Mus musculus: one gene and its partner. The main gene of each other region encodes a partner of the protein of the gene in region 2 in a complex. Links are inferred from orthologs where the notes say so. Each region holds a gene or a part of one and is shown on either strand. Other genes may lie near its edges.

What was found. The genes of interacting proteins can lie anywhere in the genome.
Region 1: Cir1 (region 2) and Sap30 share a complex: the UniProt entries of both Homo sapiens proteins name them as parts of the histone deacetylase complex. The link is inferred for Mus musculus from reciprocal best matches to the Homo sapiens genes CIRSR and SAP30.

The regions. Positions count from the first base shown.
Region 1 is NC_000074.6:57,485,061-57,489,167, reverse strand, and holds the start of Sap30 (histone deacetylase complex subunit SAP30), read left to right. Parts: upstream 1-1,307; 5' UTR 1,308-1,601; coding exon 1,602-1,916; intron 1,917-3,532; coding exon 3,533-3,658; intron 3,659-4,027; coding exon 4,028-4,107. UniProt on the Homo sapiens protein: Involved in the functional recruitment of the Sin3-histone deacetylase complex (HDAC) to a specific subset of N-CoR corepressor complexes. Capable of transcription repression by N-CoR.
Region 2 is NC_000068.7:73,306,093-73,309,592, forward strand, and holds part of Cir1 (corepressor interacting with RBPJ 1), read right to left. Parts: intron 837-3,500; coding exon 763-836; intron 347-762; coding exon 336-346; intron 250-335; coding exon 185-249; intron 1-184. UniProt on the Homo sapiens protein: May modulate splice site selection during alternative splicing of pre-mRNAs. Regulates transcription and acts as corepressor for RBPJ. Recruits RBPJ to the Sin3-histone deacetylase complex (HDAC). Required for RBPJ-mediated repression of transcription.

The DNA of each region.
Region 1 (4,107 bases), on a different chromosome or scaffold from region 2:
AGGCTGGAATGTGGCCCCTTCTTATTCTATTACCAACTTTATGTTTTCCAACTCCTTCCCAGCCTAAGCTTAGCTGTCCTGGAACTTGCTCTGAATATTGACCTTGAACTCAGAGATATGTGTGGCTCTGTATCATTAATGCTGGCATTAAAGGCATGTTCTACCATGACTGGATTTAAACTTTTCTCTATTTGGAACTTGCTCTGTTCCAAGCTGGTCTTGAACAATGAAATCTGCTTGGCTTTGTCTCTTTGGATTAAAGGTGTGAAAGCTTGGGCCTAAGTTTTTCATGACCTCTGTGACGATTATATATATATATATATATAATCGTCACTGAATTGGTTGAATCTAAAACAGGCTTTCTCAAAACTCTTCCACTTGAAATAAATTATTTTTGCTTAAGCTTAAGTCTAATAATTATCAGAGGTTCAGGGTTGGCATGGCCACGCCCATTCTTCCACCCCGCCCACCACAGGCACAGGCAAAAATACACATTACGCGAGCACAAACACGTACCCAGGCGCGCACGCGCGCAACCCCCCCCCCCCCCACACACACACCCGCGGCACACACAAGCACACATGTACGCATGCATATGACTCAAGAAAAGAGGTTTCTCGATCCTCGTCCCCTACAGCCAGGGCTAAGTTTTGATGAGTAGTCTGCAGACGTGATACTAGTGTGCTTCCTTTAAATGGTCTTAAACCCTCTTAGATCCGTTTGAAAGGAATCCAAGTGGCAGTAGAGGCGACAAGCAGCCCGATGCCTGCCAACCCGTCGGCACACGAGTATGCCAAGGACCTGCCACGCTCTAGAAGTCAGCTGCGGTATGGAGATGGAGATGAAGGACTCTCCGCCTAAAGAGCGCTAGGTATCCCGAGTTTTCTTTCAATAAATACCAAACAGCCCGTAAACTTTTTCTCACTTAATTCTTACTACCCCCCCCCACCCCCCACCCCCCCACACACACACACCATTAATGCTTCTTCCCAGGAGTCAGCTGGCGGTCTGAACACTAACTTTGCGAAACAAGAGGAGCTAAAACCAGCCCTTGCTCGCAGGAGAGAATAGAGGCGAGAAAACACGGTAAAAGCCTGACCTCACAGTCAGACTTGCCCGGTGCTTGGAATGGAAAAAAAAAAAAACTAGGGGTGGCTCGCCACGCGACGCATGCTGGGATGAGTAGTTTGTCCCGCTGGTCCCGCACGTAATCAGAACAGAGCGCAAGTTAGCTCCTCGATCAAGAACTACCATTCCCGTGGGGCCGCGCGGCAGGTGTGGGGCGGGGCCAGAGGAGGGGCGTCTCCCTCGCGCAGGTTCTGGGGTTGAGAAGGAGGCGGAGGAGCTGCGGTCCAACTGCTGAAGTCTCCATGTGACAGTGAGTGGGGTCTCCTTTCTAGGCGCCACTTCACTCCTGATCACAGTCACAGGACCTGGTAGCTATTCCAGCACCGACAGACCGGCCGGCCCTGGACTCTGGGCGTCGGACCGTGCCGCCACCAGACTTGGGGTGCGGAGTGAACGGCCGCCCAGGGGAAGGAGGCGGAGCGGCGCGGCGAGCGGGGCTCTGTAGCGGCGCCGGCGCCCCCGAACTGGCAGACATGAACGGCTTCACTCCGGAGGAGATGAGCCGAGGCGGGGACGCGGCCGCCGCCGTGGCCGCGGTGGTCGCTGCTGCGGCTGCCGCCGCCTCGGCGGGGAATGGGAACGCAGCCGGCGGTGGGGCAGAGGTACCCGGTGCCGGTGCAGTGTCAGCTTCTGGGCCACCTGGAGCGGCCGGTCCCGGCCCTGGGCAACTCTGTTGTTTGCGGGAGGACGGTGAGCGGTGCGGGCGCGCGGCAGGCAACGCCAGCTTCAGCAAAAGGATCCAGAAGAGCATCTCTCAGAAGAAGGTGAAGATCGAGCTGGATAAGAGTGTAAGTGGCCCAGGGACCGCCCTGCCCTATCCTGCGTGCCTCGCCGGATGGTTGGCGGGGTTCACGAGTCTCGGGGATTGGGTTGCAGGTGGGATTAGTGGTTCTCTGATTGAAACAAAGTCCCTGCAACTCCGGCCACCTTCCCCAGCGCGCGCTCGCGCAGTGGTGCGGGGCTCCTCCGCCCCTCGCCCGGACTCCCGCTGCCTCGCGTGTCTCCCACGCCAGGCTTCCCTCTTCCTCCTTTGCTGCGATCTGGAAACGAAACAAAGGGGACCGCAGCACCGAGGGCCCGGAGTAGTTTTCTCGCAGCCGGGCAGTCCCTTCTGGAATGGAGGCGCCTTTGTTTTGCTGCCAGAGCCGGTGTCTGCCCTAGGGAGCAGCTTCGCTCCTCTAGGGAAAGTAGAGTCTGGCTGGACCCCACAATTCTCTCTCTCTCTCTTTTTTTCCTTTTTGTCTTTTCTTTTTTTCTTTCCTCCTCGTTGTTCTCTTTCTCTTGAACACAGACAAGCAAGCTGAGCTCACCAGTTGCCTTACAGGGAGATAGATGATTGTAAACGTTGTTTGCGGTGTCAGCTCTTCGGGCAGCTGCTCCGAACCAAGGCTGCAAATAAGCCTCTGCGGTTTTACAGCCCTCTCGGCAGCCATCGGGATTTCTTTTTCTGTCTTTATGCACGTCTGCTGTTTTGGCCAGCTATGAGGTTTCAGAGAATTCCATTGCTACTTTTCAGAGCTCTGACTGATGGCAAAGGAAGAACAAGATACAGAACCTCCAGACATCCTGTATATTTTTAACTTACCCTTAGCTTAGAAGTCAATTTAAAAGCCTGTTCATTCGGCCTTTAATTGTAGCCTTAAAAGGGGGGGGGGGGAGAGTGTCAATCAGCTCAGTATTTCCTAGTCCACTGTATATACAGCTCTCAAATCCCCGAGTAATTAATTTTTTTGAAAAGTTTATTTGTGATTCTGTTTAGGCAGGTTTCTCAGTAGGGTCCATGAGAAACTTTGCAAGAGAACATGAATAATTTGCTTTAATTGAAAACACAAAATACAGAGAAATATATTCGCTTAATCCTTAAAAAGAAACCTTAGGGTTCAAATTTAAACATAGGATATGAATTCAATGTTGCATTTGTAAAGAAATGCATACTTTGTACCTGTAGAATTTCACTATCTAACAGATCAATCAGAAAGCATGTACCTACGAGTAATATAATGCTGCTCTCAAGCTAGAGAAAATACAAGGACAAATTTGTGGGCAATGCCACCTCTCCCTTTTAAGTTAAAATCAGCAGGAGCTAACTTATTTAGGTCACCTTCCCTGCAATTTGATGACAAGACCCAGAGAATTGGAATTTTTCTTCCTTTCCTGCCTGCCTGCCTTCTCCAAGATACTACCCGCCCGCCCACCGCTTCCAATTCCTCCCCTCCCCCATTTCCTTAACAGTATCGCCAGATTGCTAATGTTACAACATTTTAATAGTGGAAAGAAACATTGCATCTTCTGAACAGTGGCCTGTTAAGATGATTTTTAGTCAGCCACCTGGGCCTATGCATTTTACTAATACTTAGCTGCAGTTTTTCTGGACTCACAGTCTTTGAAAATTTTTCCTTTACAGGCAAGGCATCTTTACATTTGTGACTATCATAAGAACTTAATTCAGAGCGTTCGGAACAGAAGGAAGAGGAAAGGAAGCGATGATGATGGGGGAGACTCGCCTGTTCAGGACATCGACACTCCAGAGGTAGATGGCAGGCTTTTCCCCATGTTATATGTAAATCATAAGCATGCTGGCAATCCCAACACCATTCTGTAAATATTTGAGCTCTTCTTTAACTGTTTAAAGCATCTGAAAAATCTCAAAAGTTATATACAGTCAGTGAAGATGTATTTATACTAATATTAAATCTCAGACGACATTCTTACAGCTCTTGACATACAACTTCCTCTTTTGTTTCTCCGGAAGTTTACAATATGTATCCCCCAAAGATGGAACTGTTTAATAAAGTACAGGTCTGAGTGTGTAAATGAAGTCATTGTGTGAAGTGTCATAATACAGATCAATGATATCTTTTCAACAGAGTGAACTAACTCATCTATTTTTTTTTTCTAGGTTGATTTGTACCAATTACAAGTAAATACACTTAGAAGATACAAAAGACACTTCAAGCTTCCAACCAGACCAGGTCTAAA
Region 2 (3,500 bases):
GTATAGTCTGATAATGTACTATAAGGTTTTAAAGCAGGCTTGAATGAAGCGCACTGTTTGTAGGAGGTAAGTCATTAGAACACCCTCTCACACCAGTCCTTGCCCTGGTCAGTGAACCTTAACAAGCAGGAGGCAAGCAGGAGCACACACAAGCTTATGCTTTCCCCGTACAGAGCAGCCTCACTTTTCTCTCGGAGCGCCTTTCTGCCATTCAAACTTGTACTCGGTCTCTCCTTCCGTTTCTTCTTTCTACAACAGTCAGTAAAAAAATCTGTCAACTGTCCATAAAATCACAATCAACTACCGATCAATTCAAACAGAGAAAAGTACTTTACCTCTTTGTTTTCTTGATTGCATATTCAAAGCACAGGAGGGAAACAGGACAAGTTAGAATGTCTACTACTTATCACTGACGGATATAATACAACACTGAAATATCGTTCAGAATAGGCAGTTTAGTTCCTAATTTTTAAGCTTTTATGTTTTCACTGGCAATGAGTAGACTTTCCATTTGGAGATTTATTTTAATAAGGACCACAGGTATGTTTACATTATGAGAGGGCTGAATGTACCTCTGCCAGTATTGAGCATTTTCCTCCAAAGCACATAAGAAACATTAGAAACTGTTTATTTTGCTTTGCACATGACAACATTGTTAGAGCAACAGCAATGGAAAAATACAAATCAAAATTAAAATACTGTCCCCTCTTCTAACTCTTTACAGGTAATTACATCAAAGCTCAAAGGAAACGAGGCGGGTACCTTTCTTAACTCCTGGTGGGGCCTCGTACATGAAATTCAGGCCATTCTTCACACGTTCATCTCCCATAAGCAATCTGAATGAAATAATGATAAAAGTTTAAGTCGAGAAGAATATGACAGCACACTATCTCTCGGAAGGAACCCTGAAGAAATTAAGACAAACCCTGAACAGTGCCTCCTTACTAGAAACTTGCCATAAACCTGAGGCTCCCTCCCTCCCTCCCGTTCTCTCAGTAAGAAAGGAAAAGCATGGTATGGTTACTCTAACAGGATTTTCTTTAAAACTGTCAACTGTTGCTGAAATAGTTTTGAAATCCTGTATGCTATTATATATTTTGGTGCCACAACCTTTAATTTTCTTTAAAAAATATTTAGTTTTTTTCTTTCTGGCTTTTTGAGACAGGGTTTCTCTGTGTAGCTGTGGCTGTCTGGGAACTGGAGTTGTAGACTAGGCTGGCCTTGAATTTACAGAGACCTATCTCTGCTGGGATTAAAGGTGTACATCACCATGGTCAACTATTTTAGTGTTGTTAATTGTGGATTGTGTGTGTGTGTGTGTGGGGGGGTGGTATGTGTGTGAACGTGCATGCACGTGGAGGCCAGAAGCTAAGGGTGTGTGTGTGCTTTTCTCATCCACTCACCTTATTTGTAAGTCACTGTGTGGTGTGTAGAAGCATGTCTGCATGCCTGTGAACTCAAAGGACAGATTTGTGCAAATAGCTCTTTGCTTCTATCTCTGTGTGAGTCTTAGGGATCGCACTGCCTTTACCCGTCTGGCCAGCCCTCCAGCTTACCTTTTAGACATGGTCTCTCAATAAGCCCGGGGTTCACACTGACTGGACTAGAACAGTAAACCAGCAAGCCCTACCTCTAGAGAACTAGGATCAAAGGCACCTACCACAATTTGGCTTTTTATGTGGGGGCTGGGAATCCAACCTTAGGTCCTCATGCCTGCATGATAAACATTTCACAAACTGAGGTAACTTCCCAGCCCAGAGAACCAAATTCTCTAACAGGCTAATACAATGAAAGCCTCAGACGTTCTTAGATTTTTGGTAGCAATTGAAATCTCCTTCTGTAGACTGTGTGCACAGCATGCTGTTGGGCTCTGTAGGGAAAAAGTCCACTGCAAACAGGATGACTATGCTGAGTTACACATAAGTCCCTAAGATCCAAGGTAAGTATTAAAAAAAAGCTAAAGTATGGAATGTCTTTGTATTTGGAAAGACAAGTCAAAGGATATTCTACATTATTGTGTGTAATTCTCTTTTCTCCATGAATTCTATACCAAAAAAGTCTGTTAAAAAAAAAACACAGAAGAACATACATACACATCTTTATTGAGGATTATTACTATTTTTATTATTATTTTAGATTTATCTATTATACATAAGTACACTGTAGCTGTCTTCAGACATACCAGAAGAGGGCATCAAATCTCATTACAGATGGTTGTGAGCCACCATGTGGTTGCTGGGAATTGAACTCAGGACCTCCGGAAGAGCAGTCAGTACTCTAACCACTGAGCTGTCTCCCCAGCCCATAGAATATTATTTTTAATCAAGAGGAATGTGCACTAGTGTAAGTGGTGGATGATCTTCAAAAACATGTTAAGGGAAAGAAATCAGGAGCCCTAACACGGCTCAGAGGGTAAAGTTGCCACCACCCAGGACTGCTGGCCAGAGTTCAATCCCTGGGACCCACATATGTGAAGACAGGGAGTTGCTTCCCACCAAGCTGTCCTCTGACTTCCACATGCGGACCAAAGTCCTCATATGCCACTACACACACACACACACACACATACACACACACACATATAAATAAATATATTTTAAAAATTAAAATAACAGCCAGGGCGATACAGAGAAACCCTGTCTTGAAAAAAAAATTAAAATAATAAACCAGTCACAAAAGACTCTGTAATCATTTGCCTCATGTGTGCATAATTTTAAAAACTACACTGTTATAGGTAGAAAGTAAAAGGTGATTACTTGTAACAGGCAGAAATGAGGTAAATTAAGAAATGGGGAAATGACTCCTGTGGAGGTTTGAATAGGAATGGCACCATAGTCATGCGTTTGAATGCTTGGCCACAGGGAGTGACAGTCTTAAGAGGTATGGTCTTGTTAGAGTAGGTGTAGCCTTGATGGAGGAAGTGTGTCACTGTGGAGGTGGGCTTTGAGGTCTTAGATGCGTAAGCTACACCCAGTGGGGTATACAAGTCTCTTTCTGATCAAGATGTAGAAGTCTCAGCTCCTTCTCCAGCACCATGTCTGCCTGCACGTTGTCATGTTCCCCACCATGACAATAATGGACTCAACCTCTGAACCTCTAAGCCAGCCCCAATCAAGTCTGTCCTATGTAAGAGTTGCCTTGCTCACAACGTCTCTTCACAGCAATGAAACCCTACCTAAAACAGCTACTAATGTGCATCAAATTTCTTTTTCAGATGACAAAATGTTTTGAAAGTTGATATGGTGATGGATTACAAACACTAAACAAAGTTAAAAATTCAGGTGTATTTTAAATATCTATGAATTTTGTCTTAACACCATTCAACCTTTTTAAATCAAGTACATGAAAAGGTTAGTTTCAGTAGACATTGAGAAATACAAATGAAAACTGCAAGCTACCACTCCATACTGATCAGCATGGTTGCTAATATATGGGCTGAGATATAACTCGGTTAGGAGAATGCTGGTCTGACACACGGGAGCCTGTGTCGGCTTCCTAGT